Linked DNA regions of Danio rerio. The main gene of each other region encodes a partner of the protein of the gene in region 3 in a complex. Links are inferred from orthologs where the notes say so. Each region holds a gene or a part of one and is shown on either strand. Other genes may lie near its edges. The genes, in order: anp32e, ruvbl1, ing3, mbtd1 and morf4l1.

Region 1 (5,384 bases), on a different chromosome or scaffold from region 3:
TTCTGCAAAGTGCCACCAGGAAAGTGTTATGCATTAATGTTAAAAGTCAGATGTAATATCTATATTCATTTGCTTGTTGTTTTTAAATGGTGTATTTGTTACTGAAATGTTTTTGCCATGCAAAATAGCCTTTGTTGCTGACATGGCATTAAATGAAAATACATCATCTGTCGTTTACTCATCCTCCACTTCAAATCCATTCCTCATTGAGTTTCTTTCTTATGTTGAAGATGTATTGAGGATTGTTGCAAAGCATCAATTGTTTTTGTATCTACTATGAATTTCAATGGCTGTTTTTTCCCCCAACATTCTTCAAAATATCTTGTTTTGTGTTCAACATATTATAAAGACTCATAAATGTTTAAAAGCACCTAAGTGTGAGTAAATGGCAAGTCGCTTTTAATTTTTAACTGAACTGTCCCTTTAAGTGTGATGCTCTAACCGTGCTGAAAGCTGATACTGTAACGGTTTACATATTAATGTAGACACGCTGTATTATTAAAGTGCACGAAAAATGGATTGAGGATGCTTAGTGGAAAAGAGTGTTTTGAGACAGGAAAATATCCATTTGAAGTAGGTTAATTTATTATTGCACGTTTGTATAAAGCACAAGTCTACTATATATGTTATATAGATGTTAAATGGCATGCAGTACTTGAGTAATCATGCTTTAAAGGGATAGCTCACCCAAAAATGTGACTTTCCACATTGTTTGCTTGCACTGTATTGATTATAAACACATGCATTTCTTCTGTAAAACACCAAAGAAGATATTCTGAGGAATGTTGGTGTAAAGCAGCCATTGACATCCTTAGTAGAAACCCAAATACTTGTTTTGTTTTTTAGTTTTTTCTTCAATAGATCTGTGTTCAACAGAAGAAATAAAGACTCAAACAGCTTTAGATGAAGTGGAGAATGAGTAAATGATAACAGAATTTTCATTTCTTGGTTGAACTATCACTTTAAAGGTCCCATGAAATAAAAGAACGTTTTTTTAGATGTTAGTATTGTTAGTTTTTAGGATATCTATAAGCTATCGTGTTTCAAAACGCAAATTGTCACGGTTTTGAAGATATAAAACTAATATAAACATGTAAGGCTTGTAGTTTGTCACTTCCACTATTAGGCTGCATTTACACTGCAGATCGTGATGGTCAATTCCGATTTTGTGACTGTATCGGATTTTTTTTTTGATGACCTGCTTGCATCATGTTTTAAAAGTGACTCGTATCCAATCGTCTGCATTTACACAGCAAAGGCGTGTAACGGAGGCCAGCCTTATTAGAGCAGCCGACTCCCATGCGGAAGGTCGCCGGTTCGATCATAGCTCGGAGCGGGTTGGGTGGTGTAGGACTGGCGGTGTTACATTGGTGCCGTGACCCAGATGGGAGTGAGGTTTAGGGGGGTGAGTGTAACAGAGGCCAGCTAGTAAGAGCTGTGCAGGTAAACCTCACTCCTCTGACCTCTTAAGGTGCTCTAGCGACAGACGCTAGAGGCCATGGTCTTTAGCCTCCTTTTTAGAGCAACCGACTCCCATGCGGAAGGTCGCCGGTTCAATATCAGCTCGGAGCAGGTTAGGTTGTGTAGAACTGGTGGGGTTACAGGCGTAATGACCAGGAGAGAAAAAAAAGCGGGCGCTGACTAACAGCTGATAATTAAAGAGTGCTCTTTTCTCTATTCCTGTATGTAATCTGTTCACAGCTTTTGATGAGCTGTTTTACTATAGTTTATAACTATATCAATATAGTTTATATTGATATGTAGGCTTTTTTAAACCTTTAGGCATCTTAATGTGATGTCCATGGCGGGATTTATGCACGTGATGTACCTATGCACTAGTTTTATATTAGTTTATAATGGATATGTAGCAGACATTGTGCTCTCTCGCTCTCGTTAACATGCTTAAATACCCGTGCTATATGACAATTTAAAAGCTGTTTAAGTCCTCGTGTATGAGATTTAAAGTTTGGGATTATACTAAAGTCTGTTCTGAAATGAAAGCATCAGACATGACATCATTCGCTACGGTTTTTAATGACACGTGACTCGCATTGACAGGTGAAAATCCGATCCACCTGCTCACACTGCAGACACTAGAACAGATCCGATATATATCTGATAAATTTCCACATATGAACAAGGCCTGAATCTGTTTTGAGTAAATCAGAATCAAAGTGATTTGTTCCTGCTAACACGAACATGGGCCAAATCCGATCTGTGCTACATGGGAGAAAAAAATCGGAATTGATTCACTTGAACAGTGCCGTGTAAATGCGGCCTAAGTTTTTCCATCAAATCTTAACCAATCAAATGCTCTCTCGTATCTGACATGCCCCGCCTCCTTTAGGATGCTTCACATTTGATGCACTTGAGCTCAACCACTCACTGCATGAGTGGTGATGAAACAAAATGCGATTGGCTATTTTTAAAAAAGGGGAGGGACTACATTATGTCCCACCCTCTCTTTCTTTTTCGGTTGAGATTACGTCAAACATCAAATATAACGCACATTTAAAATCACTTCACAGACTTTATCAAACATTGTTAATTTCGTAAATGGTTGGAATTTGATTCAGGCAATGTTTGACATTGTTCTATAGTGAGCTTATTAAATGCCGTGAAAGTGAAACTGAATTACTGAATGTTCATATTTAAAGCGACTCTGTCTTTTCCAGTTGGAGTTGAGCGATAATAACATCTCGGGGACACTGGAGACTCTTGCTGAGAAATGCGCCAATCTGACCTACCTTAATTTGAGTGGCAACAAGATCAAAGAGCTCAGCACACTGGAGGCCCTGGTAAATACACACTATAATAATACATTTAAACCATATAGACTTATTGTTGAATAAATCCTATATTTTGGAGGTGTTAAGTAATCAGTGAGGCATGACATACTCTTCAATCCTCAGCAAAACCTAAAGAACCTGAAGAGCTTGGACCTGTTTAACTGCGAGATCACCACGTTGGAGGACTACAGGGAAAGCATCTTCGAGCTGCTGCCTCAGGTCACATATCTGGACGGCTTCGACGCTGAAGACAACGAAGCTCCAGACTCGGAGGCTGACGATGATGGTAAGAAACACAAATCATGGTGAAGTTTAATCAATTGGTCGAAGCTTTTTAAGGCGCTACATTGAAGCTCTTGTTCATCGTGACATTTAAACATAAATAAGTTACATTCTTTTCATTTATTTTTAGCAATAAGCCAAGTCTTTACGTATAAATGGATTTTATAAGAATGATATTGTTTTCTTTGTGTATAGTTTTGCTAAATGGTTTTGTGTAGTTATATGCGTGTTATATATGTTACTACCTCTGAGTTTGCAATGAATATACCCTCTGATGCTGACATGGTATTAAACACATTTATAGAAACAAAAACAAACGTCTTGCAGGTTAAGGTTAGTTGCCTTAAAAATCAATTATATCATATATACAGTTTAAAAAAAAGAATAATTAACTAGAGCTGTGGAGGAAAATTGTTTAAAAAATCAATTCAAATATTTTCATAGTTGCATTGCTCTCTCTTGAATGTATTCTGAGCTTAGTTTTTAACAGCAGATGGCGCTGTATGATTACAAACAGCCACACTATTCTTGAATCCAATTCCTTACCCATACCAGTTGATCCTCCTTCGTACAGTTCTTGCCATGGCATAATATATGATGTGTGTGTGTATATATAATAATATGTATATATAAATTATGCCGGCAGGTAGCTCTCTGCAACTCTCACATGGTTGCCTTCTGAAGCTAAGCAGGGCTGTGCCCGCTTATTACCTGGATGGGAGACCAGACTAGAAAGCTAGGTTGCTGCCGGAAGTGGTGTTTTAAGGCCAACAGGGGGCGCTCAACCTGCAGTCTGTGTGGGTCCTAATGCCCCAGTATAGTGAAGGGGACTCTATACGAGCTCTGAGTCTTTCAATAGAGACGATAAACTGTTTTCCTGACTCTCTTTGGTCATAAAAAAATTCCAGGATGTCCTTCGAAAAAGACTAGGACTTATCCTTGGCATCCTGGCCAAAATTGGCCACTGTCCATCATGTCCTCCAGACCATTGGCTTCATCACTCTGTCTCCTCTCCACCAATAAGCTGGTGTGCGGTCCCCTCCTCTCCCCCTCCCCCCTTTGTGTAAAGTGCTTAGTGTCTAAAAAAGTGCTATATAAGTGTTGAATTATTATTAAAACATAAATAAATAAATACAAGATGAACCTTAATTATCATTAATAAATTTAGGAAAGCTGTAAGTGAATTATAAGAAAGTTCATCGTGAAGTGTTTGCATTAATATCATGACTTACAGGTGACTTGCATGACTAAGCTGATGTGTTCAGCGCTCTTTCCTTTGTATAATTAGCACTTGTGTGTGTTGCCTCCTCTTGTTGAATCGCTGAATGCCTCAATTGTAAGTTGATTTGGACCAAAGTGTCTGCTAAATGTAAACGTCTTCCACTTGTATTTAAGCGTATGGTTAAACTAGTCTGAGCGACATCTGCTGTTAAAAACTCACATAATAAGCAAAAAAATAAAAGCCACACATATGGTGCAGTAGAAAAGTATTGAGCGTTATGTAATTTTTCCACCACTTAATGCAGACGATGATGAGGATGGTGACGAAGGAGCAGGGCAGCTGGGAGAGTACGAGGAAGAAGAGGAGGAGGATGAGGAAGGTTCAGAGGGTGGAGAAGTTGGGCTGTCCTATCTAATGAAAGAGGACATCCAGGTGATGTAGCTGCTGCTTTCTTTTTTTTTTCCTTTTGTTAAACTATGCATCTTATTAACACTCCATTCCTTTGATAAAAGGACGAGGAAGATGATGATGATTACGTAGAAGAGGAAGAGGAGGAAGGCGGCGAGGGTAAGCATCAGTTATGCTATCTAGTAGACGTACACTACCTGAAAAAAGTCTTGTAAGAGCAACAAATAATAACTTGACTTCTAGTTGATCATTTGGAAAAGTGGCTGTAGGTGGATTTTTCTGATGAATCATCTGTTGAGCTGCATCCCAATCATCATCAATACTGCAAAAGAACTGTTGGAACCCGCATGGACCCAAGATTCTCACAGAAATCAGTCAAGTTTGGTGAAGCAAAAGTCATGGTTTGGGATTGCATTCAGTATGGGGGCGTGCGAGAGATCAGCAGAGTGGATGACAACATCAACAGCCTGACGTATCAAGACAATTGTGCTGCCCATTACAGTACAAACCACAGGAGAGGGCCAATTCTTCAGCAGGATAGCGCTCCTTCTTATGCTTCAGCCTCCACATCAAAGTTCCTGAAAGCAAAGAAGGTCAAGATGCTTCAGGATTAGCCAACCCAGTCACCAGAGATGAACATTATTGAGCATGTCTGGAGTAAGATGGAGGCATTGAAGATGAAT
Region 2 (6,118 bases), on a different chromosome or scaffold from region 3:
GGTAAGGTGTGTTGGGTGAACATTGTAACTACAGATTTCACTCATTCATTTTCTTTTCATCTTAGTCCTGCCAATTTATCCAGCATATGTTTTACGCAGCAGATGGCCTTCCAGCAACCCATCATTGGGAAACATTTACATATTTATAGTGACATTTATTTCAGCTTTAGGTACATGGAGGTGTTTTAGAGTACAAGTTAACACAATAAGTGTATTACATTTAATATTAATATTTCGATTAAATTGTAGTACCTGTTAGTTTGGGAAGAGGGTGAGATTTTTTTCCCTGACAATGTCTGTTCTGTCTTTAGAGTGATTAACATGGCATCTTCAAACGCTGCACACACACCACCTATTGATCAAAAGTGGTACTGCTGCACAGATTATAAAGTGCCCTGACAGGTTACTATTCTGTTGGTTAGTTAATTAAAAACAAGTCAGTACGTAAGTCAGTAACTTCTAGTGCTTTGTGTACGTAGAAGGCGTGAAGTCACACGTCAAAGTGAATTTTATTAGTGTAATTGTTGCTTTACTGAAAAAAATACACCCACTTACCCCCGATGATAGTGCGTATAAGGGAGGCATGTCCTGGACAGTCCACCAATGTGAACTGCAGACTGTCGTATTGTTTTTCCCCGCAGGACTCCCTCAGGTGCTCCGGTAACGGCACCGTGAACGCACTGAAGCCGAGATCCAGCGTTATGCCCCGCTCTTTGGACTGCGGGTTCTTGTCGAAGGCTGCAGTGGATGCGGTGCTGCTCAGCGCCCGGGCGAGAGATGTTTTCCCGCTGTCCACATGGCCGAGGACACCGACGTTAAAGTTCAGTGTTTTGGGAAAATCTGTCATCTCTGGATCAACACCGCGGTTGGGTAACAGAGAGTGAATGCGCAGACTTTGAACTGCTGACAGCGACGCTGCTGGTCAAAACAACCAGCTTGATGTCGTCAGACAACCAACTTACTGTAATTTGATGAATTTTGATAATATCAACTTATTAACTTTGATATCAGAAATAAAAGTGTAAACTAAATTCCTCGGCTCTTACTTCATTCAGCAAAGTTTTCAGAAATTTGACAGTTGCTCTTCCTGCGCTGCCAAAAAACAATCCCTGAGCTGGCAGCATCTCACATCACTGGTTCCGCCTCACGGCATTTTGTTTGAGAAAAGAAACATTCCTCATGAACAAAGTTGTTTATAAATTAGTTTAAAAGTAAAAATAATCTACACCTTGGAAATATTATGTTATCTACACTTCTGAGAGAAACTATTTATGGGAACCCACAGCGTAGATCCTTGTTCCAACACAACATTTCAAATGTAACACACACGAAGAATAGGGGCGGGTTTACAGTGATCAGACCGACAGTTGCAGTGTCCAATGGTCATGCAGAGTTTCCACAAGTTGACCAATCGTTACAAAGAACCACTGAAAAACGTTTTGCGGACGGTACTTCCTCAAATCGCCTTGGTTACCCTCATGGAAACGCGGGTCTCTTGTGTTTGATTTTAACGGCCTCTCGTGAGACAGGCGTGTGGTTGTTTTATTCACGCACAGCGCGTTCGATTAATTATTAAGAAACATGAAGATCGAAGAAGTAAAAAGCACAACCAAGACGCAGCGCATCGCTTCTCATAGCCATGTGAAGGGCCTCGGTCTGGATGAGGCTGGTAATGCTAAACAGTCCGCGTCCGGGCTAGTGGGACAAGAAAGCGCCAGAGAGGTAACACTAGCTAAAGACCAATTTCCGTGTTTATTTCATTAATTAAGAAAAGCAAACATTTTAATTTGATAACCTCGAATGATTTGTATGTAGCTGGCTATATGTGAAGAATAAATACAAAACTTCTAATTCATTTGCTTGTGTCAAGAGCTGGATACAATTGATTGTAAATACGATAAATTCATATACTTTCATAGGCTATATATGAAGAGTTCAGATGCAAAAACCTCTAAGTACCGTCTGAAACTTCCATTAAAGCTGAGCATTTTTATCTCAGCATTCTATATTGATTATTGATGAGTTATTTCTCTTTAAAGATCATTAAATTAACATACTTTTTAATTATTCTTTAATTTGTAATTACTGAACCTACTAACAGGAGCCTGATAAAAATGTTTATTTTAGAAGAACATTTCAGACGGCTTTTAGAAGTTTTTGCATCTGAACTCTTCATATATATATATATATATATATATATATGGAATATTTTAATCACACTTTTTAAACAAAATAATGTTTTCATGTATGTGACATTTTCTGGCCTGTAGTTTAGCCCTGGGCTTTAAAAAAAAAAACTGATCCTGTTACATAAACATCTAGAAAATTCTTGCATATTTGTTAGGCTTGTGGCATCATCACTGAGCTGATTCGTTCCAAAAAGATGGCTGGCAGAGCCATTTTGCTAGCCGGACCGCCTGGAACAGGCAAGGTAAGGGTAGACTGGTTTTATTTACACTGCACTGTATAATTAAAATGGACATTAAAATAGTTTCAGAGCTGTTGTTTAAGATAGTATGTATAGTCTGCCCATTTGATTTCTATCCACCACAGACTGCTCTAGCACTGGCCATGGCACAGGAGTTGGGAAATAAAGTGCCATTCTGTCCTATGGTGGGCAGCGAAGTTTATTCATCAGAAATCAAGAAGACCGAAGTGCTGATGGAGAACTTCAGAAGAGCCATAGGTGAGCTCTCACACCACCATAACCTGTCAAAAAAGGATAGAGGAAAAGTTTTTTTATATATTCGCACATTCAGACTTTCTGCTTAATAATATAATTTCATAAAAGTATTCTTTGCAAATTTTAAATAGTGAAATCATATTAGCAGTCAATGACTATCAAAGTACAGCGTTGTTCAATCAATTACATAGTGCTAATATTGTTTTGAAGTCATCCTTGCATGCTATTTTAGACGCAATATTCAACTTGCCGTGGTAAACAAATATGGGCCATTAATGAAACAAATGTGCAAATCTCAAACATACTTTATCTAAATCAAAAAAGGCTGTTGGCCGTTATCTTGCGTAATGAGTGATTCCTACCATCATTAAATCAATTCAATCAAAACTGCTGATTCAATTAAAAATGAAGCAAGTGACTGTCTTTAATATAAAATCGAGTCTTTGGCTCATTCGATTTGTTTAAAAATAGATTAGTTCTGGAACAATGCATACCATCGTTGCTCTGAAATGTGTAAAATGTTTTGGTATGACCGTTCAGAACTGATTATGTTGACAATTGAAAATAACACAGTATTTTTGTTTTGAAATGTAAACTTACTGTTTTTTGAGCTGTTGATATTTTTGCTTTTTTACTTGAAGTAAAGGGTTTATAGTCCTAGGCTTAACCGCAGTGTTTAGACTGAATATGTATTTGTTTTTATAATGAGCAACATGCATTAATGTCAGCTAGCGTGTCATTAAACAGCAGGACTAAGTGAATATCATTTTATTTTAGATGATATAACACACCCCTACAATAAAGAAGCCATGTAAAATCTGTATTTTCCTTTATGTATTCCTATAGATTTGAGCATGACCTTGTACTGTTCTTCTAGTTGGTTCACAACCCTCAACTCTGAAACCCTCAAGTATGACTCTGAAACAATGTAGACTATGTGATCAAATGAGATATGCATGAATGCACACATTATTACTACGCTGACAGAGATATATGGCATGAACCATTGAAAATACACTTCTGGCTTTTTATTACGTAATGAAATATGTGGTTTTTGTAAAAGTGTATTGGCCAGTAAAACCGAAAAACTATTAAAAGTGTTTATATCAATCTAGTATCTAAAGTTCTGTTTTGTTTTTTGATCGAACAGGTCTGCGTATCAAGGAGACTAAAGAAGTGTATGAAGGAGAGGTCACTGAACTGACTCCTTGTGAGACTGAGAACCCAATGGGAGGCTATGGTAAAACTATCAGTCATGTCATTATTGGTTTGAAGACAGCTAAGGGGACCAAACAGTTGAAGGTAAGGAAGTGCAGGCATGTTGTTATGTTTTTTTTCTGCATGCTTATATTTCGTAGATAAGCTGGATGGAAGCTGATTATGTGGTTGTTTGAAGTCATATCTCATCTCTCCTGCAGCTGGATCCCAGCATCTATGAAAGTCTGCAGAAGGAGAGAGTGGAGGTCGGTGATGTTATCTACATCGAGGCTAACAGTGGGGCAGTCAAGGTATGGACAGATATGCTTCGCTATTCTCTCTCCTGCGGTTCTATAGTTGGCATGTTGAAGTAATCTTTTGTCAGTACAGGTGGGCAGGTAGTCTGGCAGTGGAATAAAGGACGAGATTGTCTCTCGTATTTTTAAAAGAACGTAATACTTTTATTAAGCAAGAATGAATTAAGTGAATTCAAAGAAAAAGAGACTATAATAATGCTACAAAAGATTATATTTCAAATAAATGGAGTTTAAGTTCATTAAAAAAAATCCTAAAAAAAAAAAAAAAAAGATTAGAAGAAAAAATATTAAGCTATAAAATAAATATTTCTTGAGTGCCAAATCAGCATATAAGAATTAATTCTGAAAGTTCATGTGACACTGCGGTAATGATGCTGGAAATTCTCGCCATTACATGAGTAACATATTTTTGAAGGAAAATAAGTTTAAATAAATGCAATTTTAAAATTAGAAACTTTGTAAATACACTGTTCAAATTTGATCCCAGTCAGGGGTGTCTTTTTAGTGACCAATAATTGAACAGTAAAGTCAATATAAATTAGTTTGTTTTGTGTTGGTTTAGACCTGTCTTGGGAAAAAAATATTCTTCTGAAAATCACCAGTAGTTAATGGTAAGTCTTAATACCTGAATTCATGAACCATTTATTAAAATATGTTCAGTATGGCCACTTCAATTAGAAACTACATGAATGCTTTTGTGAATGGACAATTTTAGTTTAGTTATTAGTTACAAAAATAGATTCAGATTTCAAAATCTTCCTGGTAGTTCAAATCAAATCAGGTAGTACTAAAAGCTAACTGTAAATGCAACCCCTTGTTTGTTAACCTATTGTATAATTTTAATATAACATTTGTGTGGTAATTGGGAAAATGTCATTTTTGCTTGTGTGATGTTACTGCATCATAACTATTATATCCTACTGAAGTCATAAAAACAAAATAATAATAATAAAAAATTATATATTTTTTGTTTCCTCAATTAAATGCATTTCAATAGGCTCATAATATAGTAATAATATTAATTGTATTAATTATAATTATTAATCTCACAGCACTAAGCCTGTCACAATATCCATTTTTCTTGTCGTACGATATATTGCACCAAAATACATTGCGATTAGACAATATCATTGTAATTTCAAGACCATTTTATGCCATATACAGGGTTCATACGCTCCTGCAAAACCTGAAAGTCATGGAATTTTGACAAGACATTTACCAGTCCTGGAAAAATAAAAAACCCAAAATGATTTGGACAAATCACGAAAATTAGTTGAACAAATATCTGTGTACTTGAATATTTGAGTTGATATTGGGTAAATTTCAAATACAATCGCGATGTTTATCCTTTCACATGACATTTTCTGTGTGGGGCAAAAAGCAACTTGCAGTTTCAGCTACTTTCTCTAACTACAGAGGTAAGATAATGTGGGTGCTAAAGGCTATTTTGTTCTAATTCAACAAGTCTTGTCAAGACACAAGCCAACATTTCTAATAATTTTCACACAAGATAATTTCTAAAAACTATTTTACAGGTATAAAATTAACAAACTACATAGATCAAATATCAAGGTCAAATATTTTGCTGTAATAAATTTGGACATACATTTTTTCTGATTTACCACATGTACTTAGACATTGCTTGAAACATTAGCTCTTTAATATTTACCTGAAAGTTTTGGAAAAAGTCCTGGATTTTTAGCATTAAAAATGTGTGTGAACCCTGCATATATATATATATATATATATATATATATATATATATATATATATATATATATATATATATATATATATATATATATATATAATGCCAGAATGACAATATAATAGCATCACAATAGAAATCTGTAAGAGTCCAGCAGTGGAGTTTGGTGAAGGTGACGCCCAGGTCAGGTCTCTGACACCTACACTAGAGTAA
Region 3 (5,967 bases):
CAGACATGAACATTATTGAGCATGAGATGAATGAGGAGGCATTGAAGACGAATACAAAGGAAGTCCTGCAAGAATTCTTTCTTTGCCATTCCAGATGACGTTATTAATAAGTGATTTGAGTCATTGCAGAGATTTATATATGCAGTCATCCAAGCTTATGGGAGTCATACACAATATTAATTATTTTCCACTGCTACATGATTTTATATTCTATACTGTACATTATTTCTGTTAAGTGACAAGACTTTTGTTTAAGCAAAGTCAGACCTTATTGTCTTCATTAAATAATTCAAAATCAAAGCATGATCATATTTTATTTTGGTAAAATAAGTGTTATCTAGAGGCCTTTCCCTTTTATGTAAGCCACTTCTGATACCAAATGATCAACTAGAAGTCAAGTTATTATTTGTTGTTCCTAAAACTTGGACCGCTGACAAGACTTTTGTCAGGTAGTATATAGAGTACACCAAACCAATACAATCAGCCTTGTTTTATTCGGAGCATCCTTAATGCTGACTGATATTATTTGATATTCCAGTGTGCAAATATAGCACCAGGAAACTCAGATGAGAAGAAATATAAAAAGACAACCAGAAATAGCTTTGAAACGGCCACAAACGCAGACGGAACAGTCATCAGAGGAGCCACGTTTCCTGTTTATGATCTCCAGCATATTTTTATTTGATCTAAATTGAGCGCAGAGGTGCAATGTCACTTTGCAGAACAGTTCATGTCTACAGCTGTGCGGTAATTCTGTCTTGGAAATAAAGGGTTTTAATGGGATGTTTTATAAAAGCCTCTTACACCACGACTGAACCAAATCATAACTGTCTACAATAAACGTGGGGTCAGGCTGAGGTTTCTTCCTCTCCAGAGACAGCTGGGCAGTTACATTGTCTTCCACTGTTGTGCAAAAGCCTCTTACACACAGACAGAAGCACTAAGTTGCCAGAACTGTCATTAAATATTGCAGTCAGTGCTGCCCTCCAAAGGCCAAAGCTGCATTAAACCTGCAGTCTTCAAACTAGTCTTCTATGTCTCTAATAACCATGAGGATACAAAATTAAGAGACACAAAACATTTGAATTATTTCTATAAGTTATACAATTTAGTAACTTCTTTAACACTGCTACTGATCTACAACAGGGGTGTCCAAACTCAATCCTGGAGGGCCGATGTCCTGCAAAGTTTAGTTCCAACCCCAATCAGACACACCTTAGCTAGGTAATCAAGCTCTTACTAGGCTTTCTAGAAACATCCATGCAGGTGTGTTGAGGCAAGTTGGAGCTAAATCCTGCAGGACACCGGCCCTCCAGTACCGAGTTTGGACATACCTGATTTACAAATTAAACTACAGATTTTCTAATGATAAAACATATATTTCAAAAGTATGTAAAATGTACTTGAAACAATTATTAGTGTAAAATTGACTTTTTTGATTGTATTACTGCAATGTTTTATACTCTGCATGCTTTATTTATCATTTACATCTTTCTCTTCATGTTATACATAATCATTCTTTTGTAAATGAAAATGTATTCAAAAAGAATGCTACTATAAAATAATCTACAAGTTTTTGTCTTAAAATCAGTGAAATATGTTTAAGTAATGTTTATGTGGCCAATAAATGATATAGCCTTTATCTCTGTGGAAATTTACTTTAATTTTACATGTTAGTTACTTTATTTGCTTTATATGCTTTTTTATTTTCTTAAAGATTGAACGTTTCTGTTATGTCAGTTTTATTTAAAAAATGAATTTATCTGTTAAACAATTGTGTCTAAACAATTATATTTACGTGATATAATATCTAATGTAAACAAGTATGTTTAGAACAGAACGAAAATGGCTATTTATTTATTTATTTATTTATTTATCTATTTATTTATTTATATATATATACCTACCTCTTATTGGGAGATGAGCAAATCGTACTAAAATGTACAAAGTACTAAAAGTTACAAAAGGCAGATTGCGTTGGACATCCCACAATGCGCTTGACGTAGTTTCAACTGAAAGAACTACAAGTTCCATAAAAACGATTTTCATAAAGAGTGCAGCTTCCGCGCAACTCCACCATCGTCCAATCAGATCCCACGCCCTTCACGTAAGCCCCTCCCCCGCCAGCTTGTGTTTTTTCCTCCCCTTCAGTTCTCCGCTGCCCGCGACGCCATATTGCCGAAAAACACCCTTTCTCTGAAACCTCCGAAAAACCATCTCCGCCAGAATGTTGTACCTTGAGGACTACCTCGAAAGTGAGTAAAACAGCTCTTTTATCTATATATGTTCGTATTATCGTAAGTAGGTGTTTTAGAGGGTGGTTTAGGGCGTGTTTTGCTGTCACATCCGTTAGCTTGTAACGCGGTTGTTCTTCTTCCCGGCAGTGATCGAGCAGCTACCCATGGATCTCCGCGACAGGTTTACGGAAATGAGAGAGATGGACCTGCAAGTGCAGAGTACGGTTTCAGTTTAAACTCACTTTTGTGCCTTAGAACACCACAGCTGACTTAAACTAACGTAAAGAGCCTTTCATATCAGTGGAGATCTGTTTGGTGAATTTGCAAGCATAATAAAAGCATGCATGTGTTGTGATGTTGCACACTGATGTTAAGTGCAATTAGAGCATGTGGAAGTTGAGTAACACCAGTGTCACCTAAACCAGGGAAAACTTAGGATACATTATTGCATTGAAATGCATTTTTTTGGTCACCCCAAGTAATTTAGAGTCTGACAGTGCCCCCATTGACAAGATTTTGATTGTCTTCATCACACGGGAACACAGTTTACTTATAGCAAATGCATGTATTTGTTAACAGATTAAGGTTTTGCATCAACCATAAACATGCATAGGTACTCATTCTAGTTAGAAATGTATATATTTCTAATTAAATCATTTTTACAAAACAGTTATCACAAAGACATTTCTTCTTGGAAATGTTATAGACAGTTTTCATTACATGTAATTTCCCGGTTACATTTCCCACCAAAATCATAAGGAAAGACTAATATTATTAAATCAATGTTTATATGTGTATATTCAAGTCTAGTTTTGTAGTTATAATTAAGATAAACCTAATTTACATCAGTTAAATATTTTTATATTATATAGTTTTAAATAATTTCATTTTATTTTGTGGTGATTGGGATCTGGATATTTTTCCACAGCTTTAGCAGTGATTCATGAATCACCCTTTGTAGGGGTTGCACCTACAGCCTTTTAATGATCTACTGAGATCTTTAACCAACCATAGACTTCCACAGTCGCCATCTGTGTGGTTGTGAGCCAAGTCGGGCTCTTGACTTCACTTTTGATCATGTTCCTTTGTTCAGATGCGATGGATCAGCTTGAGCAGCGGGTCAATGAGTTTTTTACTAATGCCAAGAAGAACAAGCCTGAATGGAGGGAAGAACAGATGGAAATCATCAAAAAGGTAAAGAACAGATGATGTGCACTTCAGTCGAACTGAGTGTTCTGCAGGTGATAATAATGTAGTATGAGATCTTTTAATGTTGATAATGCTTTTCCTTATTTGAACCATCAGTGTTTTTGGGTTGGACACTTTTTATTGACTCTTTTCAAAATTTAAATTAAACAAAAGGGGGGGAAAAGCAATATATGACATTTTAAAATGAATGGATATTAAATATTACAACCACACTTTACAATACAGTTCCAGTATAGTTAATTTATTTATTACCATTAACTAAGGATGAACAATATTTGCATATTATGAATTAATCATAGTCCTACGTTTAGTAATGTGTTATTAAAATCCATGCTTTTGCTTGTTAACATTAGTTAATCAACTGAGTTACCAAGTACTAGCAATAAACAATTGTATTTTATGTTAAAAAAGATGAATAAATACTGTAATAAATATATTGCTTATTATTTGTTAATGTTAGTAAGTAATTGCATTAGCTAATGTTTTCCAATGCAATCTTATTGTGAAGTGTTACCCATATTGTTTACTCCCGGAATCAGCTGCAAAATATATTGAACAATAAAAATTATATTGCAATTTAATTTAATAAAACATCTAAACTACATTCTAAGTGAAGCACAACATTTGCTTAACTGATATAATAAAGTTTGTATGTATAAGATGAGATCTTTACGCTGAAACTGACAGTGCATATTTTTTGTTACTAGCAAGATATGATATATTATTTTTTTGTTTTTATTTCATTTGTTATTCAATATTTTCCTTATTTTCATTATTATTTTTTAAATTGCATAATGATGAAATAATGATGAAATCATGATGAAACAACTGCTGGTTAAGTCATAACAATGATTGATAAAAAATTAATAATGGATAGTTTTGCATTAGAAGATAATATGCTTTCCTAATGATCTCTTTCTGTTTACCAGGACTACTATAAAGCTTTAGAAGATGCGGATGAAAAGGTCCAATTAGCCAATCAAATTTATGACCTGGTGAGTAATTTACTGTAACTAGCAACACTAGCCTTTGTGTCAGTACTGTATGGTCCCAGTAGGTGGCAGCACATCACTAATAGTAAAAAGCCAATGGATTTCTGGGAAGCTTTTTTGTTTGCTATTTAAATGCATACTAATGCTTTTTCGTGAGATTTAATAGACGTTTTTAAATACATTTTTCCTAATGAGAAGTGACATTTGAACTTGTGTGTGGGTTTGTGTAATCCGTTGTGTGTTGATCTTGTGCCTCTTATGTAGGTTGATAGACATTTACGGAAGTTGGATCAGGAGTTGGCAAAGTTTAAAATGGAGTTGGAAGCAGATAACGCTGGCATCACAGAGATCCTGGAAAGACGTGAGTGACGCCTCTCAATCACCTTTTTTACAGATAACTGGCTAATTTCAAAAGATAAAAAAGGTAGGAGTTGGCAAGTTTTTAAAATCAGTGTAAATCATTTAAAGAAATATGATATCTACATGTTTTTAATATGAACAAAAATAACTGATTGCTTGTCTTCAGGAAAAGTATACACATATCTTAAAATGTCTGGACATGCTTTAGTAAACTAATCATCTTGTAGCTTTGTTCTCATTTTTAAGCTGTTCGTGAAGTCAGTTTTATCTTTTCTAGGGTCTTTGGAGATGGACAGCCCTTCTCAACCTGTCAACAACCACCACGTACATTCACACACCACAGTGGAGAGTAAGTTTGTTCCAAGAAAATACCTTCTGTCTAATTTTTGGTTCCAGTACTCTGACCTGTTTTCCTTGTCGTTTGACAGAGAGGAAATACAGCACGCCAGCCCACCACACTACTGAACACGTACCTGAAAAGAAGTTTAAGTCAGAGGCCCTGCTCTCCACGCTCACGTCAGACGCCACTAAAGAAAACACACCAGGTAAAACACACATGCTCTCTTCTCCTGGGTCAGCCTGTAAAAACAGACACAACACAAAAATAAACACAGGTGAACCCAAGAAATTCTTCATAGACATTTATTTTGCAGTGTTCTGTGTATGGTAAGAATAAAAAAAAAACTATGGAATAAAAAGCTTTCAGAATGACATGATCCTTTAGAAATAATTTAAGGAATAATTTGCTTTTTGATAAACAATTTGTGGTGTTATTATCAATGATCAAAATTAAACTTTTATAAATATTAAAAGTCTTTTAAAGTTTATAAATAAAATTTACACTGCAAAAAATGCTTTTCTCAGATTTTCTTTATTAAGTGAGTTCCTTATAGCAAGAAAAATAATCTGCCAGTGGGGTAAGAAAAATAATCTATGTCAAAAGGAAGAACAAGATTGTTTTGCTTACCCCATTGGCAGATTATTTTGCTTGTTTTAAGTAAAAATTAACTTAATATTGGCATATAATTTCTTAAAACAATCCATTATGTTTTGCTTGCCTAGAAAATGCTTCTTGATGAGAATTTTTAGATATTTGGACTATAAACAAGTCAAAAAATCTAAGTAAGATATTAATTTTTTGCAGTGTACATTTTAAAACAAGAACTTTC
Region 4 (6,002 bases), on a different chromosome or scaffold from region 3:
AGCAAATGTAATAGTGTAAAATCTGTAAAACATCACACACTGCCATTCACATTCTTGTCCTCTCACTGGTAAGCCATGAAAAATAGTACTTGTATTTAAACAGTTATATTTTTTTTTTGTAGAAACCATGATATATTTTTATGTAAAATAACAGCATTGATCGTAGTATCAATCATTGATCAATAGTAAAGACATTTTTAAGTTTTACAAATAATTTATGTAGATTTTGATAAGTTTCTAACCAAATAAATCTTAATTTATTTCAAATAAAGACAATAAACATTTAATTCATTCATTTTCCTCCGGTTTAGTCCCTTTATTCATCAGTATCCAGCATATGTTTTACACAGCAGATGCCCTTCCAGCTGCAACCCAGTACAGAAAAACTTCCATACACTCTCATTTACACACGTACACTATGGCCAATTTAGTCTATTCAATTCGCCTATAGCGCATGTCTTTGGACTGTGGGGGAAGCCGGAGCACCCGGAGCAAACCAACACAGGGAGAACATGCAAACTCCACACAGAAACACACAAACTTATGGTTATGGTATAAGTATAAATCAGCGTTTACCAGACAAATATGAAACATTTTTTTCTCTCTCATCTGTAAGTTTACCCCCTAAAAATCTAGTTTATATGTAATTTTAATAATGTATGCACTACCATAAAATTATCCCAAACATTCTGAAATTCTTCACAAAAAGTGAGTCAATCCATCTTGTAAAATATATTTCATATCGCAATGCATATCATTTAAAAACTGAATATTGCAATGTCAATTTTTTCTAAAATTGTGCAGCCCTGATATTAATCATATGAGTGCTCCCAAAAACAAGTCGAAATAAGTCAGAGGTGTCTTTATGAAAACCTAACACAACACACATACTACAACTAGCTGGAAACTGCAATTTGTCTCAAAGTTAACACCCATGTTACCTGAAGTCTTGCCAGTATACTGGCCTTTTTAGAATTGGAGGAATAGCTTCTGGAACAGGACACGCTGCAGAATCTCTTCGTTTTAGAATAGAAAGCATCTCGTACACCAACCATACCACACATCTCACAGGTTGCTGCATGAGAGGGAGGAGGAAAAAAAAAGCATATTTACACCACTGAACATATTTATTCTCAACAACAAACCAGTAAACAAGTAAACAGGGCACCAAATACAATTTCTCATTAGAAACAATACTGTACCGTTTCTTTTCATAACATTGCTTGTGTCAGGTTTAAAATTAGGGATGTGCAATATGACAATATATGGACTAAATCAAACGTTTATCGTTTCATATTATTCTCTATCTTTTATTTCACGGTGGCACTACAGTAATACTTATAATTCATTTGACCGCAATTTTACACTGCATTATGTGGAAGCAGACATAAACATGAATAAAAGCATCATGAAAAAGTTGCAATATTGAAAGTGCAACGTCTACATTTTGCAATATTTTATGTTAGGCCTGCATTCATCTTATTTTTCATTAATTTTCATTTTATATTACTTCATTCCTAAAAAATTTGCCCTGAAGTTCTGAAAAAAATTAAAGATATGATCACATATAAATAAGAATGAATTACATTTTAACAGAGTATATCCCTTAAAATGTAAAGAAAAAAGACATTTCCTTTCTATTTAGTGAATGTTTATTAGGGATGCACCGATAATATTTTTGGCCGATATCCATAACTGTTGAGATTTGGAGGCTGATAACCGATATATTAAAGCCGATAAATATAAATATTTCAAAATTTGATATTTTTATACAGTGAACAGCTGATTTTGTTTTTAAAAACTTAATAAAAGTTTGAACTGATATTTGAATAGCCTACTTAAAGCAATAAAAGCAATAATTTCAAAATTGTAGGTGATTATATAGACCTATATTTATGATTTCACATAAATTAGCATGCCAAAAATAAATGATTTCCTTTTCTTTGCATAGCAAATTAACATGCAACTTGACTGTTGCATAAAAATAATAGGTTAAATAACAAAACAAGATTTAATTAACAAACAAGTTAAATAAATAGTAAAACGAAAATGAAAGAACACAGAACTGAAAACAGCGCAAATGTTCTTGAATAAACCGTGGTTTAGTAATGTACATATGTAGAACTATGCAATGTCCAAAAAAGCATTTTGTGAGGTGTTTTGACAGTTCAGAGCAACAGTACAAGCAAAAAGATAATACAGATAGACAGTATGTTTTACTTTAGAAAAATCGGCATAAATTCATCCTATTTGGCGTTTTAGATTCTTTTGAACATATAGACGCTTCTTGTCAGACGCTTTTATGATCATTTTTGCTGTCAATAAAAAATGTGAGGAAAGCTTCATTATAGTGCACTGGACAGTTTTGACCCACGCATTCTCGAGGCAGGCAGTTCTGTACAATTACGTAATCTATCAGCTTAAAGATATATGCCTAATTTTGATATTGGATCGATAATAATAACATTAAAAATAGCATTTAACGCCCTATAACAATATGGCCACCGATATATCGTGCATTCCTAAATGTAGATAAACTATTAATTAATTGAATTTAGAAAAAAGATGTATATATCTTGCCATATATCTTTAAGAATATGTGATGACTTTTATCATGATATAGGATTGTCATATCGCCCAGCCATAATTTAAATAATATTTAGGTATGTTTTTTGACTTTTGTATCCACATGACTAACCCATTCCTGCTTTCCCGTCAGGATAGGTGTACACCTGGCCATTGTTTTTGATGATAGGCAAACTGGCAGGGATGCTGGGAACTTCATCTTCACTGTCCTCCGAGCTGGAGCTGCTACTGCTGTCTTCACTGCAGCTGTCATACCCGTCAAACATCCCGAACGAATCTCTCCTCTTCCGCTCTGAGCGGGGAGTGTGCTCAGCCTACATGTGACGAGGTGAGACAAAAAAAATGGAGAATATTAAAAAGAGAGAGAGAGAAGGAAGGAGTAATGTTAAATTAAAGTAAGGGCAAAGAAAGACAAAAGGATTACAGCTCTCTTGCACAACCATAATACTTTAATAAATGACCACCTTTGACATGATACACCATGATTAATATTGTAACTAGTAATAACCACAATCTTTAAAAGAGGGAATTAGGAGGCGGCTCAAATCACATTATTAAAATTAAAGGCTTCCAAGGGTCACAAGAAGCAAATATCATGTACAAAGCACTAAAGATTCTACACAATTATCTCAAGCCAGAATATAAAAGGCGCATATATATATATATATATATATATATATATATATAATTTAAATTTGCTGCATTTTGAGAAATTACATATTTATATTCATCAATACTTCAACACTAGACTGTAGAAGGACTCCAATACACTGTGACCTGATTTCAGAATGAACATTTTGGGACCTTTTCTTCCCCTGAAAGAGTACCATTTCAATTCTCATCTCCTAACATTCAATTTTACCACAAATTAATGCTGTTATTATCCCTATTAACTACAAGTGAATGATTTTAGGTCATATTACAAGCCCTCACAACACAAACAGGCACATACGCTTATCTTAAGCCCTAGTAAGATGCCTGCTCGTACATAACAGCTCGTGAAAACGTTTTAACGCATATGCGAGCCTCGTAAAAACTGTGTGTTGGGAAACAAACACAAACATTTCCACATTCATTGGCCTGCGGGTCTATTGCAGCAGCACAAAACATATACATTACCAACTGTATTAGCACCATTTAATAAGACAGCTTATTTGAATGAAATGTTATATGGCATAGAAAGAATTACGAGTGATTCGAATGAGGTAAACGCTGTAGTTTGTGTGACGAGCAGGATCTGTTTCTGACAACCAAAACAAAGAGGACGGCTAACTGCTAAGCCGCTAACTGAGCTAAATCAAGGAAGCGGGCTCAAATAAACTCTTTCTTACCATATCCCTTGGGTTTTCCATTAGCCCTTCATGCAAGTCGGTATCTTACGTTTGTTGTGGTATGATCCGACAGCCCCCCGGAGGGAAAGGGCCTGGCTTGAAATTATTTTACTCTATAGCAAAAAATAACTCCAGTTGATTATCAACAATTGTCATGGCTCGAGAGTGCGCGTGCGCAGGGATCTACAATGATTGACATATGTTTTAGCCAATCACCGTTCACGTGTTCGGCACATTTACCCCATATTTGGTCACAGGAAATGTTTGAGTGAGGGAGAATGATTACAGATCAAATAAAATCGGATTTAGTGGTGGGAATAGCAGATTTATTGACCCTAACATTAAAATAGAATGTTTACGGTCATAGCTTAAAGGCAATATAATTTAACAGGTTGTAACAATGGTAGCGACGATAAATGTAAACAGATATTTGTTACAGAAATGCTAAGATTCCTGTAGGATGTAAAATTCATGGTATTGCTTTCTTCTACCAGAAACGTACATTATCTGTCTCTGAAATATAAATATAAACATAAATACAGTGGATAAAAGTATTTCATCCCACAAATGTCTAAAATGGACTGATGGTTGATTTCTGTGAGTTGTTCTGTAAATGAATGTCATTCTTGTCAGATTATTTTTCTTTATTAAAAACACTTTACAAATGTACAAACCCTGTCATTGTCCTTGTACTCAGCTCAATTTAACCTACAGCTTTAACAGTTTTGTTATGCTAAAAACTGTTATTTAAAAGTTTAAGCTGTGATCATTCACATCAATTGATTAAAAAAAACATGAAATTATAAATTCTACAAATACATACTACAAATATTATGAATCAAAGAAATGTACAATTGTCCCCATGTTTCTGTCAGTCCAGTCACATCTGCATCAACATAAAATTCCTTTAAGGCTATGACATCGAAAGTGACATCATCTGATGGAGGAGAAGCTGAGTGCGATCAAGGATGCGTTCCATCATTGAATTCTTATGATTTTATACTTGTTTTGTATGATTTTTTTGAGGGCGACAAGCTTGACAAGCCCAGTCACATTTTTATAAGTGGATTTTTCTAAGCATGATAGTTTTATTAACTCATTTTATTTTATCTTTGCCATAATGACAGTAAATAATATTTTGCTTGATGTTTTTCAGGACACTTCTAAGTGACATTTAAAGGCTTAACTAGGTTAATAAGGTGAACTAGGCAGGTTACGGTAATTAGGCAAGTTACTGTATAATGATGGTTTGTTCTGTACACTATTGAGAAAAAAAATTAGCTTAAAGGGGCTTATAATTTTGTCCCAAAAATGGAAAATAAGACTTTTTCCAGAAGAAAAAATATTATCAGACATAGTGTGAAAATTTCCTTGCTCTGTTAAACATCATTTGGAAAATATTTAAAAAAGAAAAAAAATCAAAAGGGGGCTAATAATTCTGACTTCAACTGTATATCATGGCCCTCATATGTATTTCTTTTCTAACATTGAAATTGCTGTTACTATGTAAAGGATTTAAATAAAGTAATACACAGTGAAGCAGTGAATTAGGATATATTACATATGTTTAAACTTAGCAAGCCCAAATACATTTTATGAAATTTTATAATGCATAACAATCACTCCCAAAAAAGGTTTAGTCTGCAATTTTCTGAACACATAAGGACCCCATTATTATTCTATTTATCACTGTATGTTCTTATAAAATAGAGCTAAATTTTCCTTTTGGCTGCAAATTTTCCCCTTGTTGTCTGCTATTATTGTTGATATTCCACCTTGTCCAATTATTTGTTTATTGGGGTTCTCCCACCCGGCCCTCTCATTTGGTAGACTTTATAGCATCTTAACCCTTCTGGCTAGGCGATTAATTCTTCTGAATTGGACGAGCCCTTACCCCCCTTCTCGCACTTGTTGGATAAGAAATGTTCTTTATTTTATGAAGTTGAAGAAAATTAGGTAACCTCTTCACCGACCTAACACTATATTCATTAAATCGTGGGAACCCCTTCACAAACATGTCCAAACTCTTCAGCTTGACCCTGCTCCTTCTGATTGAGTCCCCACCCCCCAACTCGGTACTGGATA
Region 5 (6,117 bases), on a different chromosome or scaffold from region 3:
TTAAAATAAATCATTAAAAATAAGTCACTTGTAGACTACATTTACAATTTCAACTGGTATAGACCATTTCAATGTGGTCATGTAATCGGCCCATGAACATTTTCTGCTTATCAAACCTTTTCCTAACTGTAACAAGTGGCAACTCAATCATAACTTAATATTAAAACAGCTATCATATGTGGTTGTTTTTGGATTCTCGGCAGCTAAAGAAATTAAAAATGTAAAACAGGAAATACGTTGGAACCATTGTTTTTGTTCACATCACTCAAAATGGTCTATAACCTGTGTAGTAAACAACAAATCAATGCAATTAAGTGAGCATTTTAAATACACAGACTTACTTCTTATTCCATCCACTGTAATGAATAAAGTATTTCACTTGTTTGTCCTTGATATTGATTTTTACACACTGTAAAACATAAAAAAATACATGATTAATGAATCATCTTTCTGACATCTTTGGAGAAACAACATTTAAACTATCTTTCACAAACAAAAAGAAAATATCATGATGGCAATATTGCCCAAAGGTATAGCTCTTTAATAAAAATCTAAATAGGAATAAAATAAAAATCATTTAGTAAAAGGAAAAACCTAAAATTACACAAAGTTAACCCTCAACTGCACGCATCATGATAGCTCTATAAAAAAAAAAAGTATTTGACTGTTTTTCTTTTCTTGGATTGGCTTAACTTGAAGTGCTGCAAAAAAGATCTGGGGAAATGAGAAGTTGAGGTACTTTATGATATGCTGCGATATGACAACAACATCCATTAGTGGATCTAACTTTATTTAAAATGTAGAACTTTCCTTATGAATTATAATTTTGTTGTTTGAAATTATTTAATTGGTGTTGCAGAGTTAAAAGCTTTAACACAGAACTTATAAATGACACCTTATACGGTTGAATTTAGAATTATTAAACCCCCTTTTATTTTTTCTTTATTTTTAAAATATTTCCCAAATTTTGTTAAACAGAGCAAGGAAATTTTCACAGTATGTCTGATACTATTTTTTCTTCTGGAGAAAGTCTTACTTGTTTTATTTCGGCTAGAATAAAAGCAGTTTTAGATTTTTTTAAAACAGTTTTAAGGTCAAAATTATTAGCTCCTTTAAGCTATATTTTTTCAATAGTCTACAGACCATTATTATACAATAACTTGCCTAATTACCCTAACCTGTCTAGTTAACCTAATTAACCTAGTTAAGCCTTTAAATGCCACTTTAAGCTGTATAGAAGTGTCTTGAAAAATATCTAGTCAAATATTATTTACTGTCATCATGGCAAAGATAAAATAAATCAGTTATTAGAAATGAGTTATTAAAACTATTATGTTAAGAAGTGTGTTAAAAAAAACATACTCCATTAAACAGAAATTGGGGAAAAAAATAAACAGGGGGGCTAATAATTCTGACTTCAACTGATATTCCAAAACTTTTTATTTAGTCCATTCTTTTTAACATAATATTGTATTATCATGTAGACAACATACAGAAAGTATAAATATATCCTCTAGTAAATATTATAACAAATAAATAAGTCTAAAATATTCAGATGCATCAAAATAAACTTTTGCTACCAGCAAACTATGTTTATATATTAAACTATATACTTTACTACATCTGTCTTATATACACCTCTGAGCTAGCTAACTTAAACTGACTTCATCACTGCTCTTATCAAATGTCCAATCTGCATTATTCTCATTGTCACCATCTCATCCTCACGTTCATCTGTGGGAAGAGCCAGTTGTGTCCTTTTCTTCTTTCACTAACTATAGAACATTGTGGTCCTCACTAATACACTGTTCCTTGTATTTATATCTAATCAAATGCACTGCCATTAAAATTAGATTTAACCATAAAGCAAATGCCATTAACATACAACTAATCAACGTTATATTACTAGCATTCATGTTGTTATTGTTACAACTTTAAAGACCACAGCTGAGCTGACCTAGCTAGCTAATCTATCGCAATATCGCACATTCCTCTATTGTACAGCATTTCCATTTGCTAGCACATACATTTGATCGACTTACAAAATGCTAATTTGATCAAAATCTTTTTGAGTTGTGAATATGTCATCATAACTTATTGGATGTGATGTCTCAGATTTTGTTTGTGGATCTGGCATGGGTTGATGCTTTGATTTTATTGACTTTTTCATTTGCTTTCAGCAACTATTCAAAATAAACGCCAGTCTAACAGAAACCAAGCCACAGAAAAACACTGCACGTCATGTGACTTAACCGAAGCACATCATTGGCTACACTAAGGTCTTCTCTTTCCAATAACCACAAAAAAACAAAAAAAACAAACAGAACGTTGGTCTTAAAGAAACACTGGCAGAAGAAGAAGAACAGTGGCACTGGCAAAAATTAACGGTATTATGTTGCCATATGGCAACACCATGGGGTAGAGGGCTAACTATACAAAAACAAATCCCTTTACTTGACACAGAAAACAATACCAAAGCATTAATATGATAAACAAAACCACTACAAACACATGACTACATTTACACTATAAATGTAATGCCATTCAGGTACTGCTTTCAGGAAAACAAATATCAAAAAGCCTTTTGAAGCATGCATAATGGCATGAATGATTCAGGTACCTTAGCTTCGTATAGCAATGGCCCATGAAAGCACAGCACTCGTTCACCTGAAAAAACATCAGAAATATTAATATACAATGACATCCACTAATGGGCTAATAAATAAAATAGAAGTGTTACATATTCAAATATGTGTGTGGGCACAGAATATTGTACTTTCAGAAAATGCCACAACAAAGAAATGTTTTAAATGTATAGTAGATTTATAACAGTCTGCAGTATATTTACCATATTGTTTGTTTGAATCATAATTAAGCTCATTATAACCAAAATATAATTAGCATTTTCAATACACAATACTTAAACAAACGAGAAATACGCACATTTAAAACCTGCTTATATAGTCAAACAATACATCAAATCTGACTGTTTACTTGACATATGCGTTTACTTACAATCACCAACAATATTAACTCATATTAGAGTCCCAGTTCAGGAATCAGATTCAGAATAGAACACTGTTCTAAAGATTCGATTCTATAGAACGATTCATTCAGTTATCAAAAATTGCTAATGGTCATTTTAATGCAATAATATAGCCTTTCTTTGCTCATTATCGACTTCAGTTTTAGAACAGCTCCGAGCTAACGTCGTTGTTTTTACGCTTCAAATAAGTAAATGACTGTTCCCGCCAGGACTTCAATACTGCAATGGCCGCTTCCTGTAAACAAGGCCTGCTGTATGCTAACGGCTACATCATAGACAACAGCTAATGTTTTGTTTCAGGAACACGCCGCTGTGTGCGTCTGCAGAGGCTGTCAGATGCAACGAAAAGCACCAACGTGCGATCATGCACTCGCTTGACAGGTGATGAACAACTCTGCACAAGTTAAAGGCGGCAACTCTCAGCTAAAAAGTGTTTTGTAACAGACAGCTCGCCGTGCGCGCGCGCCATTGTGCAGCGGCAGCGCCCGCTTCCTTTGCACGGCAGAATGAGAGGATCCCCGATCGACGGGTGACTCTCGTGGATGAAACAAAGCGCATCTTACCTTCTTGAAATTTAGGTTTAGGGTCCTGTTTAGGCGCCATTCACAGATTAAACAATAAAAATAGCTGGAAAATCAAATCCAGGCATTGCCAGCTCCGATTTAATTCACGCAGGGTGAAGGCGCCGCGCTGCGTTCCTATGACGCACTTTACTGGCGCCCTTGTCAGGTGACTCTCATAATAAACAGCGTTTATCCAGCAGCCCCTGTTGACGAATGACAGAAGTTGTGCTCTACTCACGGCAATACATGTAAATAAGTGCATTTATGCAGATATATTTCAACGTTACGCCACGCCTCTTCTATAATTTATGTTTTTATTTCTTGTTAAAATTTAAAGGGGTAGCTGCACCAAAAACAAAACAATTGAGGTTATGCAAGGTGTACACGACTTTTGTTTATATATATATATATATATATATATATATATATATATATATATATATATATATATATATATATATATATATACATATATATATATATATATATATATATATATATATATATATATATACATATATATACATACATACATACATACATACATACCATACACACAGTTCTCAGCATAAATAAGTACACCCCTCACAAATCTATCTTTTAAATTCATATTTTTAATAGGAATCTATACTATATTAGTCAGTACTGAAGCAAATCTGGAGCCTATCTAACAAAATAACTTACGATAACAGTCCAAAAATAAGTACAGCCAAATTTATGTTATAGAAAAAAATATTAAATGCAAATTTAAGAAAAGAGAAAAATAAATAAATAATATTTTTTTTATAGGTTGTAAGTTTTTTTGGGGCCATATTTTGCTTGAATTTAATTGTATTATCTTTAAAAAAATTTATGTTTGGTGACTAAAATATTATTTCATTAAATAAATTTGTTTAATAAATTTGTTTCGTTTAAATGCACCACAATACATTGCCTATATTCACTGACAATTGGATACACATATGTGTGTACTTAATTATGCTCAGCACTACACACACACACACACACACACACACACACACACACACACACACACACACACACACACACACACACACACACACACACACACACACACACACACACACACTTTTAAGTCAGAATTATTACACCGGCCCCTCCGGTGTAATATCTTTTTATTATAAAAAGATATTATCTTTTTATAATATTTCTAAATTATGTTTAACAGAGCACAGTATGTCTGATTATATTTTTTCTTCTGGAGAAAGTCTTATTTGTTTTATTTCGGCTAGAATAAAAGCAGTTTAAAATTTATTATGTATCATTTTAGGGTCAAACCTATATTAGCTCCTTTAAGCAAAATTTTTCAGACTGTGTACAGAACAAACCATCGATATACAACAACTTGCCTAATTACCCTAACATGTATAGTAAACCTAGTTAAGCCTTTAAATGAGCTAAGCTGTATAGAAGTCTCTTGAAAATTATCTAGTTAAATATTATTTGTCACCATGGCAAAGATAAAATAAATCAGTTATTAGAAATAAGTTATTAAACTATTATGCTTAGAAATTTGTTAAAAAACAATCTTCTCTCTATTAAATGGAAAGAGAATTACAATCAAACCTGAAAACATTAACCAGAAACAAAAGTGCAACACATCAAGGTTTCCTTCATTTGTTCGTTTGTTCAATCATTGATTTCAGTGTGCCACTCCAAGGGTGGCCCCAGACATCCAATATTACAGGTGGAGTGGCGTACCATCCATCCCACATATAAGACAGAATTTTTAACTAATCAGCCACTATTCTTAATTGAAGCTTGATACATTGCTATTGAGTGTTCAGCAGTTTCTTGACAATATAAACCTCAAGAGGAAATTTAAACGTTTTTTTTCCTTGTGACAATTATATTCTTTGTATACCATTTGATGCAGGATTTATCCCATTGCGCATAGTAATTATATGAAATTATAGTCAGAATTATTTATTATATCAATATTTATTTAGAGGTCAACCTTATTGTACAATAAATAGTGAAATATGCAAAGAGAACACATTTTGTTTTAATAGTCATTTTCACACATGCATGCATTTAAAAAGATTCAGTTTGGTCTCAAAATAGCACCCGACGACATATGCGTACATAATTTAATACTTTAAATAAAAACAATACATCATCGTGTGATATTTACACGCAGTTGTGCCATTTATGCATGCCTGCTGGACTTCTGTAGAGAGCTCTTTAATAACCAGGGGGCAAAAATGGACAAACATTTTTTCAGTTTCTTCCTCAAAGCTCTTCTCGTAAGACAATATATAAAAGGATTTAAGCAGCTGTTAGTATGAGCCAAACAAACAGTCACGGGGAACACATAGGTATGGACAACATAATAAGCCTCATCCCAGCGAATCGCGTTCAACTTGACCAGAACACCCCAAAATGTAATCGCGTGGTTGGGCATCCAGCAAAGGAAGAACGAGAGAATGACCACCGTGATGGATTTGGTGACCTGGATCCTGCGCCGGGAGTGAATGTTTTTTATAT

Evidence for each region.
Region 1: ing3 (region 3) and anp32e share a complex: the UniProt entries of both Homo sapiens proteins name them as parts of the SWR1-like complex. The link is inferred for Danio rerio from reciprocal best matches to the Homo sapiens genes ING3 and ANP32E.
Region 2: ing3 (region 3) and ruvbl1 share a complex: the UniProt entries of both Homo sapiens proteins name them as parts of the SWR1-like complex. The link is inferred for Danio rerio from reciprocal best matches to the Homo sapiens genes ING3 and RUVBL1.
Region 4: ing3 (region 3) and mbtd1 share a complex: the UniProt entries of both Homo sapiens proteins name them as parts of the nuA4 histone acetyltransferase complex. The link is inferred for Danio rerio from reciprocal best matches to the Homo sapiens genes ING3 and MBTD1.
Region 5: ing3 (region 3) and morf4l1 share a complex: the UniProt entries of both Homo sapiens proteins name them as parts of the nuA4 histone acetyltransferase complex. The link is inferred for Danio rerio from reciprocal best matches to the Homo sapiens genes ING3 and MORF4L1.

The regions. Positions count from the first base shown.
Region 1 is NC_133194.1:45,170,299-45,175,682, forward strand, and holds part of anp32e (acidic leucine-rich nuclear phosphoprotein 32 family member E), read left to right. Parts: intron 1-2,675; coding exon 2,676-2,798; intron 2,799-2,912; coding exon 2,913-3,075; intron 3,076-4,597; coding exon 4,598-4,725; intron 4,726-4,805; coding exon 4,806-4,860; intron 4,861-5,384. UniProt on the Homo sapiens protein: Histone chaperone that specifically mediates the genome-wide removal of histone H2A.Z/H2AZ1 from the nucleosome: removes H2A.Z/H2AZ1 from its normal sites of deposition, especially from enhancer and insulator regions.
Region 2 is NC_133181.1:43,388,074-43,394,191, forward strand, and holds the start of ruvbl1 (ruvB-like 1), read left to right. Parts: upstream 1-1,434; 5' UTR 1,435-1,581; coding exon 1,582-1,722; intron 1,723-2,344; coding exon 2,345-2,431; intron 2,432-2,553; coding exon 2,554-2,686; intron 2,687-3,833; coding exon 3,834-3,985; intron 3,986-4,101; coding exon 4,102-4,191; intron 4,192-6,118. Other genes in the region: eefsec (selenocysteine-specific elongation factor), read right to left, coding at 556-847. UniProt on the Homo sapiens protein: Possesses single-stranded DNA-stimulated ATPase and ATP-dependent DNA helicase (3' to 5') activity; hexamerization is thought to be critical for ATP hydrolysis and adjacent subunits in the ring-like structure contribute to the ATPase activity.
Region 3 is NC_133179.1:11,169,195-11,175,161, forward strand, and holds the start of ing3 (inhibitor of growth protein 3), read left to right. Parts: upstream 1-2,093; 5' UTR 2,094-2,227; coding exon 2,228-2,255; intron 2,256-2,384; coding exon 2,385-2,456; intron 2,457-3,330; coding exon 3,331-3,431; intron 3,432-4,375; coding exon 4,376-4,441; intron 4,442-4,702; coding exon 4,703-4,799; intron 4,800-5,075; coding exon 5,076-5,147; intron 5,148-5,226; coding exon 5,227-5,343; intron 5,344-5,967. UniProt on the Homo sapiens protein: Component of the NuA4 histone acetyltransferase (HAT) complex which is involved in transcriptional activation of select genes principally by acetylation of nucleosomal histones H4 and H2A.
Region 4 is NC_133187.1:35,464,956-35,470,957, forward strand, and holds the start of mbtd1 (MBT domain-containing protein 1), read right to left. Parts: upstream 4,085-6,002; 5' UTR 3,939-4,084; coding exon 3,918-3,938; intron 2,901-3,917; coding exon 2,699-2,900; intron 1,076-2,698; coding exon 942-1,075; intron 1-941. UniProt on the Homo sapiens protein: Chromatin reader component of the NuA4 histone acetyltransferase complex, a multiprotein complex involved in transcriptional activation of select genes principally by acetylation of nucleosomal histones H4 and H2A.
Region 5 is NC_133193.1:21,419,903-21,426,019, reverse strand, and holds the start of morf4l1 (mortality factor 4-like protein 1), read right to left. Parts: upstream 3,833-6,117; 5' UTR 3,650-3,832; coding exon 3,610-3,649; intron 3,537-3,609; exon of another isoform or gene 3,016-3,536; intron 2,668-3,015; coding exon 2,621-2,667; intron 410-2,620; coding exon 342-409; intron 1-341. Other genes in the region: rxfp3.3a3 (relaxin-3 receptor 1), read right to left, coding at 5,780-6,117. UniProt on the Homo sapiens protein: Component of the NuA4 histone acetyltransferase (HAT) complex which is involved in transcriptional activation of select genes principally by acetylation of nucleosomal histones H4 and H2A.